2 linked regions of the Lonchura striata genome follow. Each later gene encodes a partner of the first gene's protein in a complex. Links are inferred from orthologs where the notes say so. Each region holds a gene or a part of one and is shown in the gene's direction. Other genes may lie near its edges.

Region 1 (7,035 bases):
TTTTCTGCCACAGGGACTTAATTCAACCAGAGCCCTCCCAGGTGTGATCCCACAGCAGGACTCGAGGCTGGAAACGCTCATCAAGCCCTGCATGACATATTTTGGGCTCCCCACATGTACCTGCATTTCCTCACAGGGTTCAAGAGAGCTGCTGGGTGAAAATTCCTGGTCTGGACAGCCTGGCTGCAGTAATTTCACCTCCTGAACACCTCTGGTCTTCTCCCAGATCCATCAGCTCAGGCATTGCTGTTTGACAAAATTACAGCCACTGGCAGTGTTTACTCCAAGCTTCCAGGAAGCAAATCTATTTTTCATTAATAAATAATTTTCCTCATTTAAGTATTCTTAGGAGGCTTTTTTAGCTATCCTGCTGCAATTCTCATTCTTTGGTCTTTTCATACAGCTCGTGCAGCCTATCTAAGCAGAACTCTTATTTTCCACAGCTAGCCCCTTTGTTTCCCACCTTTTTGCCATTGTTTACACATGGTTTATATCCCTTCTCGCAGAATCAAAAATAATTCTCATTCTATTAAAGAAAAGAAGCCCCTTTTTTTCCCATTGAAATATTACTGCTTAATTTAAGGATGATGGTTTTAAAAATTATATCTAGAGAGGAAAAAAAAGGGACACCAATTTTCATTTTATGTGAGTCTGGACCATATTAGCAGTAGGTTTAAGAGAATTAAAATTACAATTGCATTTTAAAAGATAGTTTACTAGAACAGGATTTACTTCTAGATAGAAAGCATTTTTTTCTCATTTTTTGTAAAGAGGGAATGTAAAAATATTTTCCTATGATTAACACCATGCTTTCCCAGGACAAACAAAAGACTTTTGTAAGCCAGAAACCACAAAAAAATAAGCATGTGTGTTCCCAAGGATTAGAACAGTATTACACACATACAGCAGAAGACGGTATGGAAATAAATTCTAAAATAATGTGTTCAAAGGCTTCAAAAACCATTTTAAAATAAGAGTCAGTTTTTCACCTCATACATATTGACACAGCCCTGAGGTTTCAATCACTTAGACACATACCACAGTAGCTCCTTGATAGCTCAATTTACAGTTAGAAAATGTTATCTAAATGTAGATTAGAAAACAGCTTTTGTGTTTGCAAGTTCACAGGAGGGAGTGGTTTGGCTTTCATTTATTGGAATGTAAAATGGACGAATTTTATATATGATGCCTACAGAAGTCATATTTAATGTGGCCACATGTGCAACAGGGTTGTCAGCCCCTGTGAAACTAGAAGATGGGCTTTGAACATTAATTTTTCCTAACGATTCCCCAGCACTTTTGCTGTGAAGGATTCTGATGGCAGCATCCTGCAGAACTATGTGGCCATAGGTTTAATCTGGGAGCTATGTCTGTGGCCTGACCCAGTTAGACACATTTCCACCCAAAAGCATGGGACAGGCATCTCCAAAAGGAGTTTCACCACACCTGTCTCAGACAGCAGCCACAGAAAGGGAAAAATTACCCCATGGAGATGCCTGACTAATTAAAGTCCCATTAATGCCACCAATGTATCAGAAAAAAAAAAATCTATTGAAAAAAAAAAAAAAGACATTTTCCCTTCCTTTCTTCTGGTAATATTGTTATTATTTGTTATCATGCACGCTAACTTGTGAGCATTTGTCACCTAAGCTTTTATATTGTTTTAAATGCTTAAAGCATTTGTTATTCATCTGCAGGAAGATGTATGTCCTTGATGTTTAGCTTAGATTCCCAGATCTCCTTTTTAATGGTTTTACTTCTTCGTTTTAGGAAAAAAAAATGGGACTTTGGTTTTTTGTATTTTTCCTCTTCTAGTTGTGTCTAATTTCAACGCAGGAAGTACTTTTGCAGCTCTTCAGTCTGACTGTGAGTGAGAACCAAGCTATTACACTGTAACTTCACTCCCTATTGTGTGGGAAGCAAGAATTGCATCATCCCTAGGATCCAGAACAGGAGATGAAGATCCCTTCTTGGTGGGTGCGGTCCATGATTTTGTAGTCAATCTTTCAACCAAAGTAAGAGCTCCTTTTGTTTTTATTCATTTCTTCCCTCTTCTGTTTTCCTCTCTTCCCCATAAAACTCCTTGTGAAAGACAAAAAAAAAAAAAAAAAAAAAAAAAAAAAAAAAAAAAACAAAACAAAAACTTTCAGTCTAGTAGTAGGCATTTTAAATTTTATGCTTAAACATTGTAAATATCTCACACTTCTGCAACTCAGTTTTTACCATCTAAGCAGTTGTCTTTATTCCTCTCTTCAGGTGTGATTATTGGGGCATTAGGAATTCCCAACAGATGTTAACAGCATGACAACAAGTCATGGAAAACATAAAAAGCAGGCATAGAAACTTTGATTCAGAGTACCTCAAGTATTGTTAGTACCCAAACTATAGACAAATGCTACTTTTTGGATATCATTAGCTAACAGCTGCTCTTAAATTTAAATTCCAACAAATTGCTTAAGTTATTTTGTGATGCAAGTCTTTGTTCTGGTGAATACGTTGACCAACTCATAAACACAAGTAATTAAATTCTGCCTTCTTAACAAGGTGGAAGGCCATTAGCAAATAGACATTGAAGGAAAATCTATATTAGGCTGTACTAAAACTGAAAGCCTACTGTAAAAACAGCTGAAGAAAGTTATGGACACTTAAATACCCGTAAAACAGTGTGTCATTTAAAAAAAATCATTCAAAGGCACACTAAATTATTAAACTGGGTTAAAATATCTTAACAATTAAGTTCCCATTAGCAGTCTTGGCAGTGCATTCATTGGTTGTCATTAGTGTTTTATGCAGGAGCTTCTGAAAGAGGCTGGTGCCTTTGGATAAAGAGGTACGTGGATTTGGGAGGGAGACGAGGGAGAGGAGGGAAAGGAGGGAGAGGAGGATGAGGAAGGTGATGAGGGTGAGGAAGGTGATGAGGGTGAGGAGGGAGAGTGAGGAAGGTGAGGAGAGAGAGGAGGGAGAGAAGGGTGAGGAGGGAGAGGAGGGAGAGGAGGAAGAGGAGAGTGAGGAGAGAGTGAGGAGAGAGAGAGAGGAGGGGAGAGCAGGGGTGAGGAGGGGTGAGGAGTGTGATGAGGAAGATGAGGAAGAGGAGGGAGAGAAGGGGTGAGGAGGGAGAGGAGAGTGAGGAGTGTGATGAGGAAGAGGAGGGAGAGGAGGGAGAGGAGGGAGAGGAGGGAGAGGAGGGAGAGGAAGGTGAGGAGGGAGAGGAGGGAGAGGAAGGGTGAGGAGGGGTGAGGAGGGGTGAGGAGGAAGAGGAGAGTGAGGAAGGTGACAAAGGTGAGGAAGGAGAGGAGGGAGAGGAGGATGAGGAAGGTGATGAGGGTGAGGAAGGTGATGAGGGTGAGGAGGGAGAGTGAGGAAGGTGAGGAGGGAGAGGAGAGAGTGAGGAGGGGAGAGGAGGGGTGAGGAGGGTGAGGAGTGTGATGAGGAAGATGAGGGTGAGGAGGAAGAGGAGAGTGAGGAAGGTGAGGAGGGTGAGGAGGGAGAGAAGGGAGAGGAAGGTGAGGAGGATGAGGAGGATGAGGAGGGAGAAGAGGGAGAGAAGGGAGAGGAAGGTGAGGAGGGTGAGGAGGGAGAAGAGGGAGAGAAGGGAGAGGAAGGTGAGGAGGGTGAGGAGGGAGAGAAGGGGTGAGGAGGGAGAGGAGAGTGAGGAGTGTGATAAGGAAGAGGAGGAAGAGGAGGAAGAGGAGGGAGAGGAGGGAAGGTGAGGAGAGGTGAGAGAGGAGGAGAAAGGAGGGGTGAGGAGGGTGAGGAGTGTGAGGAGAGTGACGAGGACCCGTCGCTCTGCAGCCGCCCCGCGCGCCGGCGGGGCCGCGCATGCGCGGCGGCGCGCGGCGGCGTGGGCGGCCGCGCGTCGGCGGCGAGCGCGGCGTCCAATGGGCGCGCGGGGCGTGCGCGGGGCGTGCGCGCGCCGGGGGGGGGCGGGCGGTCACCTGACGCGCGCGCCGCAGTCGGGCCGCAGCCGCAGCCGCAGCCGGAGCCGGGAGCGGCGGGGCCCGGGCGGGACGGGACCGGACCGGCTGAGGCGGCAGCGGTGCTGCCGCTGCCCTCCGGCCCGCGGCGGCGGGCACCGAGGTAACGCCGAGCCGGCCGCCGGCGGGAGCGTGCGCCGCGAGGGGCTGGCGGCGGGGGCGCTGAGGCGGCGGGGCGGGGGTCGCAGCGCGCCCGCGGGGCCGGGGCCGGCGGCGCGGCCTTCTCCCGGGGCGGGGCGGTGGCGGAGGCTCCGGCAGCGGCGGCTTTCCCTCGGCGGCGGCTCGCTGAGGGTGTCGCCCCTTCCCCCGAGACCTCCCGGCTCGGTGCCCCGGTTCGCAGGGCTGCCCCCGCCGCGCTCCCGGCTCTGCGAAAGGGCCGGCTCGGCCCCGCCGGGGGCTCGGCCGCGCTGCCGGGCTCAGGCGTGCAGCCGGCGCTTGCTTCCCTTTGGGGGCAGCCGGCGAAGGTCTGCTTTGGACTGTAAACAACGAAATACAAACCCTGTCCCTCCTGCTCGGTGCGCTGAGATCCTTCGCGTGTTTTGGGGCTCGGTGGAAAGGTGGTAATCGCAAAAGAGCAGTTATCTATTTTAGCCCGACAGTAATCCCAAAATCATCTGCAGCTCGGTCTTCCAAATCTTTATTAAACTAAAAAAGGAGGGAGAAAGTGTTCTAGCACTGGAGCTGTATGTCGAGTGAATTTTGACAGGTTAATTTGAGGCACTTGAGGAAGGCAGTTTCTCCGTGTTGAAATACACCTGTCTGCAGTAATGGAGTAATTGCCATCCAGAAGCACTGTAAATTAAGGTGATGCAGCACTCTGAATGCTCTAGCATATAGAGTTGGCTCTTTAATCTCAAATATTGCACCTCACAGCAAGAAAAGAAAGGAGTATATTGCTGTCAACATGATGAGTATGAATTAGACCACAAAATATGGTTTGTAATGCGAGTTTAACTTTAAAGATTACTTAAATAGCATAATTACTCTTGGATGCCCTAACTCAAGTGAGTAAGCCTTGTATGTACCTTAGCAAGCAGTGAGGCCCAAACCAGAAAGATTTGCAGGGAGAAACAGTTGTCACTGGTAACTGAATACCCGCTGTGTTTTTCAGAAGGATTCTAAATCTCTTAGTATTTGACATTCTTGAGAACTTCTAGAGTGTGTTTTCCAATTTACTTTAAAAAAAGAGCCTACTATTGTTGTCTGGGTTCATCTTGTGATGTGAATGAAAGCATGATAAATGGGGTGTTAGGGAAGTTTGCTTCACTAGCACGCTCCTGATTTTAACCAAAATGCTGAAGTACAGCTTTAGCTTCCATCAGCTGTATCTTTTGAGTTTATGTGTAAAAATATGGAAGATCTGAATGTGTTAAATGTTTAATTGCTTTTAATCGGTTCTAATATTCTTATGCAAAGGATACTTCGAACACTATTAATTTTTTTATTGTAGAAATGGTCTAGTGTTAAAACCCATACCCTTTACCTGATCCTTTGGATCAGGTGGGCACTCTTGTTAGGTGTAGAATAGACAGGTCTTTGCACATGAGTTCTGTAAGTCCCAAATAACTCTGCCCTATGGTTCAGGGAAACGCAGCTCAACAAGTCTCCTTGTCATTATCATCCCCACCTTCCAAGTTTGATCATCAGTGTATTTCTTTAAACACTTAATGGGTTTTCTTTTAACCATAGTCCTCTCTTTTTGCACTGGGCATGCTGGTGTGGAGGCAAAGAAGAGTGGCAGATCAGTTTGAGTCTGAATGCTGGGATTTTAATTGTCCTGTAGAATTCAACCACTGAAAGTTTCATGGGGGAGGTTCTGGGGAGTAGGAGACAACACTGTGGTATTCATAATGTGAGTCCTGTTTATATGTAGTCCTTAGTTGAACCAGAGGTGGTGTGTTAGTTGATGCAAGTGTGGGTAGGAACAAAACATTGACTGAGCCAAAATTAACTGCTGAACCAATCATTAAGTCGTGCAGATTCAGCCTAGTGTGACCACAGTGGGGATAATGTGTGACGATCCACCTGCAGATTTCCCTGCCCACACCTCTAGTTCAGAAGTAAGCAGTCTGGAGAGGGGACTAAAAGTGATGGAAAGGCTTATTTGGCTGTAACAAATCAAAGACTGCATCACAAGTCACTCTGTTTCCAGTAGTATGCAGTGTTTTTTGGTTAAGTCACTCTTAAGGATGGAAGGAAGTTTTGTTCTTGTTAAGTATGAAGGGAAAATGTAGTATTTGGTATAAAAGTGAGTTAGAATGTCAGAATAAGGCTCAACTGACCAATCAGCTACTGAAGCTTTAAAAAGGGGAAAGTGTGTTGTGAAGGGTAAATTAACTGTAGAAGCATTGTTGAAATACAAATAAATTGAGTTTAATTATTAAACATACATTGGAGAGTGTAAGAGGTGTAGCCTAGGGTATCAGTAACTAAATGTCTTTAAATGAGAGCCTGTGTCTTAAAGAATATTTAATTAATGTTAGAAATTGTGTTTAGATACTTTGTGAATGACTTTATTTGAGCTGTCAACATAATGTTTGTAGGTGTTTGGATTCCAGTCTTGGCCCATTGACAAATACTATGATAAGTAAATATATGGCAGTTGCTTGCCCTGTTCATGCTGCTTTTAAGGTCATCAAATCACAGAATCCTGGAGTGGTCTGCATTGGAAGGGACCTTAAAGATCATCCATTTCCAACCCTCTGCCACGGGCAGGGACAGCTTCCACTAGAACAGGTTGATCCAAGTCCCGTCCAACCTGGCTTTGAGCACTTCAGAGATGGGGCAGCCACAGCTTCTCTGGGCAACCTGTGCCAGGGCCTCACCACCCTCACAGAACAGATTTTTTCTAATAGCTAAGCCTGCCTTCTTTAAATTTGAAACCATTCCTCCTTGTCCTGCCAGTCCAGACCCTTGTCCAGAGTTTCCCTCCAGCTCTTGGAGCCCCTTTGGGCACTATCAGGGTCTCTAAGGTCTCCCTGGAGCCATCTCTTCTCCAGGATGAGCACCCCCAGCTCTCCCAGCCTGTCTCCAGAGCAGAGGGGCTCCAGCCCTCAGAGCA
Region 2 (7,135 bases), on another chromosome or scaffold:
GGGCCCAGTTCTGTTTAATATCATCACTGATGATCTGGATAAGGGAATTGAATCTACCATTAGCAAATTCAGGCAACACCAGTTTGGGTGGGTGTGTTGGTCTGCTACAAGGCAGGAAGTCTCTGCAGAGGGATCTGGAAAGCTGGACTGATGGGTTGAGGCCAATGATCTGAGGTTCAGCAAGACCACAAAAACCCCCACATTGCTGCACGCTGGGGCAGAGCTCCGTGTTTATACAGCACCTGGGGGGTCCTGGTAGACAGCAGCTGAATATGAACCAGCTGTGCCCAAGTGGCCAAGAAGGCCAAGGACACCTGGGCTGTATCAACAACAGTGGGGCAGCAGGAGCAGGGCAGTGACCATCCCCCTGGGCTGGGCACCGGTGAGATCACACTGTGAGCACTGTGAGTGCTGTATCCAGCTCTGGGTCCCTCAATTCAACATTGAGAGGCTGGAGTATGTCCAGAGAAGGGAAAAAAGCTGGCAAAGGGTCTGGAGCACAAGTCTGATGACAAGCAGATGAAGATCTGGGTGTATTTAACCTGGAAAAAAGGAGAGCTGGGGTGGGGGTACCTTATCATTCCCTGCAACTCCTTGACCCAAGGCTGTAGCAGGTGGGATCTCTTCTCCCAGGGAACCAGTTACAGGACAAGAGGACATAGTCTTAAGCTGCATCAGGTAAGATTTAGATTGGACACTAAGAAGAATTCCTTCACAGAAAAGGTGATTAGACCTTGGAATGAGCTGTCCAGAGAAGTGGTGGAGTCACTATGCCTGGAGGTGTTTAAGGAAAAGCTGGATGTGGCACTTAGTGCCGTGGTCTAGTTGATATAGTGGTGTTTGGTAAAAAGTTGTATTTGATGATCTCAGAGATCTTTTCCAAACTAATGGATTCTGTAACTGTGTAATCTGCTTGAAGGGAAAATAATCATACCAAATATGCTTACAACAAACACGCTTGTTGTGGTTTAACCTTAGCTGGCAACTAAGAAAAACACAGCTGCTTAGTCCCTTTCACTCCCCCACCCTAGTGGGACAGGGAAAGAACTGGAAGTGTAAAACCAAGAAATAAATTCATGGGCTGAGGTAATTATCAGCAGTTTAATAAGTTAGAAATAGTAATAGTAGTAGTAATAATGAATTGCAAGGAAAAGACAAAAATGAAAATGAAACAAAAAGAGAAGAAATAAAACTCAAGAAAAACAAGTCATTAAGATGAAAAAAAGAATAGCTGAGGTTATACCATGTCAGTTGTTTTGGCACCCAGTGTTGTGTCACCCTGATTCTTAAGATTTTCTAAAGCCTTCTGAGTTTACATTCTGTTAGAAAACTTTCCCACACATTTTCTATAAACAACATATTGTTTTGCATTCCTTAGTGGGGGTGGAGGAAGTTGATGTACTGGTGGTTTGTCCAATGTGTTTGGAGAGGTGGCCCATTCACTCTCCAATCCACTGTCACCTTTTGAAAACAATAAGTATAAAAGTCGGAGTCAGGAAAATAAACCTTCTTTTTTGCCTTGCCATCGTGGTGGCTCGTGTTGTGCTTTCTCGTGCCCTATAGCGACAGTGTAGTGCATGAAGGGTTGAAATAACGGCAGATTTGACTGAATGTGCTACATTGAATTTGTAGCTGTTACTGCTGTTTTGCTATTAATTGGCAGGCTGCTGTGCTTCCCATGGGGCTCGCTTTCCTGTCTGTTGGAACTCAGTGTTTGTTAGTGGCTGCTCTGATTTTGCTGCTGGCTGCACTGCTAGCCACCTCAGTGTGTTGTGCCTGGGGACACTTTGGTGACAGCCATTGCAAAATGCCTGGGCTGGAGGGAGCCTGTGCTCCTGTGCTGCCATACTGGACAGGCTGGAACTCCAATGTGAACTTGAGTCTAGGAGACCGTGACCTGTGGAAGAGTCCACTGCAGAGCAAAGAACCACTGGCAGCCCATGTAGGATCCATGTCCGGGCAGGTGGATGTCCAAAGGCACACATGATCCCATCAGAACATCAATCTGGAGCAGGCTCCTGAAACGAGCTCTGGACCCATGGAAGCAGCTCCTGACGTGAACTGTGAACCCACTCTGGAGCAATTTTTGAAGTACTGCAACGTGTGTGGGAAGGACACACATTGGAGAAGTTGAAGACAGCCAGCATTTATTCTGAGTTCTGATTGGTTTGAAGATTTGATTTGGACTTTCATCTTCTTTTAATGTTATTTTTGTTTTTCCTTACTGAAATAAAATTTTGCAGTCTGTGGGAGGAGGGAGTGTGTGAGCCACCAGGCAGGTAGCTGGGACAGGCACAAACCAATGGCTAAGGCACAAAGAGTGAATTTATGTACATTATCGTGCTAACTTATCATGTTTCAGGAGGAGCCCTGAAGCAACACCTGGGCTACACAAGTGCAGAGCAGGCACTGTTAAACTCAGTCCATATATGAGGATGACTGGTCTGCTGTTCACACAGTCTTACCAAGAGTTACTTCCAGCTGCCTTCTGCTTTTCAACCCATTCTCCCAACAGAGCTGAAAAGGCCTTGCCAATTCTTTTGGTAAAGATTTGCTGTGCTTTATATTGATGAAGCCCATTGAAGTATAAATCCAAACAAAATATTCTATTGTTCTGCTATTATCCAAAGGTATATTTAGTACTTTTCTCATAGGAAACATTTTTAAAGTGCTGCTGAAGACTAATTATAGAGGTAACAAACAAAAATAATAGCAGCATGGGTATTTTAATCCTAACATAACTTGTCCCTGGGCAAAAAGCCAAAACATGTGCTACGCAATATAAAATACTGTGCATTTCTTCTCCTGCCCTTTGTTATTTGATATTAGTACTGAGCCATATATACTCTAGCTGCAACTTGCCTTCTCCTTCCCCAGACACCTTTTACTAAAGAAAAAATTGCACATATATTTAAACTACATATCTAAGACTATACAGCTAAGTCAACTGTTTAGAAGTGAATGCTGAAACAAATTGCTTTTGCTAGGCACTAAGCAGAGTCTTAATTAATGCAGCATCCAGCAAGGATTTACACACCAGGGCACTTGCATCAAGGTTCAACACACTGCAGTTAGAGGTGAGTGTCTGCAGGAGGGCATAGGGGGTCAGAGGTCCCATATGAGCCTTGTTTCCAGATGTACAATGAATTACAGCAGAAAACAACTATTTTCTGGAAAGTGCTGGTGGGAAAATTATGTTGACAGAAGAGAGCTTGGAAAACTGCTCTTGATGGTCTCTAAGCTTGTGTTGCTTTGCCACTGCAAAAACTCAGCCACTGTCCTGCACATAATCTGAGACCAATGGGAAGGGGTCTTCTGAAATTTGCCTACAAAGTGTAGCACAAAAAATTTTATTTCAGTTCCTCAAAAAGATGCATGTATTTTATACGTCTTACGTGTAAATATATATATATATATGGCAATGACCTAAGGGAGGGGGTCCAACAGATGATGGAGGGGGTCCACGAAGATGATGATGGGCCTGGAGCATCTCTCTTGTAAGGGGAAACTGCAGGAACTGGGCCCATTTGGTTTGGAGAGGAGTGGAAGGGGTTCTCAGTAATGGGTATAAATATCTTCAAGGCTGGTGCTAACACGGCGGTGCCAGACTTTTCAGTGACAAGGGGCAGTGGCCATAAAGTAAAACAGAGTAAGTTCCACCTCAGCAAGAACGCCACGTCGAGGGTGACAGAGCATTAGAACAGGTAAGCCGTGCCGTCTCTCTCTCTGAGCACACTCCAAACCCACCTGGATGCACTCCTGTGTCACCTGCTCCAGGTGACCCTGCCTCGGCAGGAGGGTAGAGATGATCTCCAGGGGTGCCTTCCAGCCCTGACGGTTCTGTGGCAATGCACGTACGCTCGTGTCACACGGCGGGCCCGGCCCGGCCTCCAGCGGCCCAGCGCGGCCGCCGCCGCGGCAGCGCCGGCCCGCGGAGCGCCGCCCCCGCTCCCGCGGGAGGTCAGGCCGGCGGTAGCGGAAGCTTCTCCCTCCCTCCCTCCCTCCCTCCCGGCGTCCCGGAACCAGCCCCGCCGCCGCCTCCTGCCCCGGCCTGCCGGCAGCATGTCAGCTGCCGGCGCCGCCTCCCGCAGGTGACACCCGCCCTTCCGCTGCCGCCGCTTCCCTTCCTATATGGGCCACCTGCTCTCGAAGGAGGCAAGGAGCCTAAGCCGGGATCGCCGCCGCCCGCGGGGGAAGGTGCCGCCGCCGCCGCCGCGCAGCCGGAGCTGCTTCCTGCGCGGGCCCTGCATGCTCTGCTTCATCGTTCACGGCGCCAGCCCGCCTGCCCCGGAGCAGCCGCTGCCCGCCGGGGACCCGCTGCCGCCGCCGCCGCCCTACGTGTCGCTGAGCGCCGCGGAGCAGCGCGTGGCCCGCCGCCTCCTGCGCCTGGCGCCCGCCGCCTGGGAACCTCCGGGCCGCTGCCAGCGCCTCTTCCTCTCCGGCCTGCTGCCCTCGCCGGTGCGGGGCCTCCTGGGGCCGCCCGGCGAGGTCTCCTCCGAGATGGTGTGCAAGCGCAAGGGGGCCGGGCTGCCCGCCTGCCCGCCCTGCAAGCAGCCGCGCTGCGCCGCCGCCGAGCCCGAGCCCGGCGCCTGCCAGTGCCCGACGGAGCCGCAGCTGCTCGCCCTGCCCGGCGCCGCGGGGGAGAGCGGCGGGGGCACAGCCGGGCAGAGCGGCGGGGCACAGCCCGCCTCGCCACCGCCTCCCACGGCGCAGGACGAGAAGGAGCAGGGCCGGGAGGAGGAGAAGGAGCGGGGCGGCGAGGCGGGCTGCGAGGAGCCGCTGGAGCACCCCGGCGACAGTTGCCGGGAGCTGCCGCCGCCGCCCACCCTAGACATCAACCAGCTGCCGCCTTCCATCCTCCTCAAGGTGGGTCTGGATGGGGGGTGGACGGGCCAGCCCTCTCCCTGAGGATTCGAGAAGGGGCTGTGCCGGCCCCGGGGCGCCGCTGTCACACGGGGCAGACCCAGTGCGGGGGGGACCGGAGGAGGCTGCCTCCGCGCCTGGCTTTGGGGGGCGGCTTTGGGGGTGTTGTTTGTCGTTGGAAGAGGCGCTGTGAGGCGTTACCTGGAGGTGCACACACATAAATCAGCTCCAGAAGCTGTCTCGTACGTGTTTTGACTGTACCCGTTAACTTAGTAAGGTGCCCTTCACAAGTCGGCTTTTACTTGCTTCACTGGTGCAGTACTGACCAAGGGGGCCTGTCACTGTATTTAGTGCTTCCCTGGGTGTTGGAGCTACGTAGACAAGTTTTCAGTGCTGATTATTAAACAGTTTGTATTGCTGTGCATTATGGATTAATTTTGGCCTTACTAGTTACACAGTGTTTGCCACCTTCTTGAATTACATGCTTTCATAACCTCTTACGCTGTATGTCCAAGGAACATATGTCCAAGTCTCACCTCTCCTGTCCCTTTTACTCTCTTTCTGTTCATTGAATACTGTTCTCCTTTGGAACTACTTTCCATTTTTAAGCTACTCTTTTGACCCCTTTGCTGACTTACTTCGACTAAACATTAGCTAAAAAGAGGAGTCTAGCTGGAACTGAGCCAGTGATGTTTTCCACGGTCTGATGTTAGTGTGCCTTTAAATTTTGGGAATAAGTTTTCAGGATTGCTGGAGTTTCTCAAAGATCAGATGGCTGAACTTAAAGCAGGACACAGTAGTGCAGGAGTGAGAGACATGACTCTTGGTGTTCATGTTTTGCTAGTGTACTTCCTGTACTCTTTTGTTGTCAAACAGTAACAGCCTACTTACCTGTCTGTCTTGCACATAACACTAATTCTGTGGGAGGTTTAGTTGGTTTGAGGGTTTTTTGCTGTTGTTTGTTGGTTTCATTTGTTTTTTTTTAATACTCATAAGCGTGTCAGTAATGTTTCATGGATGTGCTATGCAAATTAATTCTAGGCAGATAAGAATTCATGAGCTGTCATCTGAATTAATCTCATCTGTGATTGCAAAATTGAAACTTTGTCTTGTAGTTCTTCTAGAATGGAAACATTTGTTTGCCACTGTTATTGGAAGATAACTATTTTCTTTGATACTTAGTTTTGGGATTTGAAACTGTTCTCATTTGGTTAGTGTAGCTGAAATGCTTTTTGATCAATGGTGTGAATACTTTTCTGTGGTTACTCTTAAGTACTCAGTTTCACTTTTTGAAAAATATGTGTCTATAGATGTGCCATAACTTTAATAGTGAAAGATGTCCTGTCCATCTTACCTGTGGACCAGTTTAAATGTGATTTAGTGTCTATTTAATTTCTACCTGTGTTTTCAAGGTTATGGGGGTTTTATGTTTGGTTGTTTTTTCTTACAAACATGGGGTTTTGTTTTAACCCCAGGCAGCCACTTGCACAGCACATCCACAGACTGGTTGGGTGTAGAATTCAGGGGGAAAAATGTGTACATTGTGGGTTGTGATAAGAACAGTTTAATAACTGATGAAAAATAAAGTATGCTAACATATATTAGTATAAAATGTTTATATAAAAAGGAGAACAAGAAAGAGAGATCCAGGTGATGCACAAAACATTTGTTTTGTACCAGCCACAAAGCACTGTTACCAGCAGCTGAGAAGAATTTTATCCTATCTGAAATCAGGACAGACATCTACCTTCCTCAGTGATTTTGTCTCTACGGTTGTCCTGTAGTCAGTTCTTTCTGGAATGTCTGAAAAAATAGGCCATTGTTTCCAGCATCTTGGTAGGAGCCAACCCACTCACCCCTCACCCACAAATTTGCCCTCCAATCCATAGATGTACTAATGAGTTGAATTTATGATTTTGGGTTTTTTGGGTTCTTTGAGATATATATATATATATATATATATATATATATATATATATGTGTGTGTGTGTGTGTGTGTGTGTATATGTATGTATGTATATATATGTCTTTATCTATATATCTGTCTCCTAACCATTCCATTGCTTTGGGATTTTTGGTTGCTTCCAAAATATACTACTCTGTCATGGAGCTTTTAACTTCAGATGTGTAACCAGGTGTCCTGTCAACTGGATTTACATTTGCCTTCTTATGATGGATTTTTATACAGGTAGAATATCCTAAATATAGTCCTTTCTCTAAAGGTGTAATTTCATTATGAGAGGGTGGAAGACAAATATACCCAAAATCTTTT

What was found. Proteins that work in one complex are often made in the same cells at the same time.
Region 2: the proteins of BACH1 (region 1) and FBXL17 are in contact, whole or in part, in a cryo-EM structure (PDB 8UAH), measured with the Homo sapiens proteins. The link is inferred for Lonchura striata from reciprocal best matches to the Homo sapiens genes BACH1 and FBXL17. Residues at the interface, in NP_001177.1 of Homo sapiens: Val20, Leu21, Ser23, Leu24, Gln27, Val32, Leu33, Asp35, Phe39, His48, Arg49, Ser50, Val51, Ala53, Ala54, Cys55, Ser56, Ser57, His60, Ser61, Arg62, Val64, Asn72, Thr74, Pro76, His116, Asn117; in NP_001156787.2 of Homo sapiens: Asp395, Arg421, Asn447, Gln473, Gln498, Glu499, Met524, Arg548, Cys574, Leu575, Tyr598, Val600, Ser601, Asp623, Trp626, Met651, Arg652, Val676, Gln678, Asp679, Cys680, Arg682, Thr683, Glu685, Gln689, Trp692.

Annotation. Positions count from the first base shown.
Region 1 is NC_134604.1:4,185,553-4,192,587, forward strand, and holds the start of BACH1 (transcription regulator protein BACH1), read left to right. Parts: upstream 1-3,969; 5' UTR 3,970-4,077; intron 4,078-7,035. UniProt on the Homo sapiens protein: Transcriptional regulator that acts as a repressor or activator, depending on the context. Binds to NF-E2 DNA binding sites. Plays important roles in coordinating transcription activation and repression by MAFK.
Region 2 is NC_134642.1:78,994,210-79,001,344, reverse strand, and holds the start of FBXL17 (F-box/LRR-repeat protein 17), read left to right. Parts: upstream 1-4,116; 5' UTR 4,117-4,131; coding exon 4,132-4,866; intron 4,867-7,135. UniProt on the Homo sapiens protein: Substrate-recognition component of the SCF(FBXL17) E3 ubiquitin ligase complex, a key component of a quality control pathway required to ensure functional dimerization of BTB domain-containing proteins (dimerization quality control, DQC).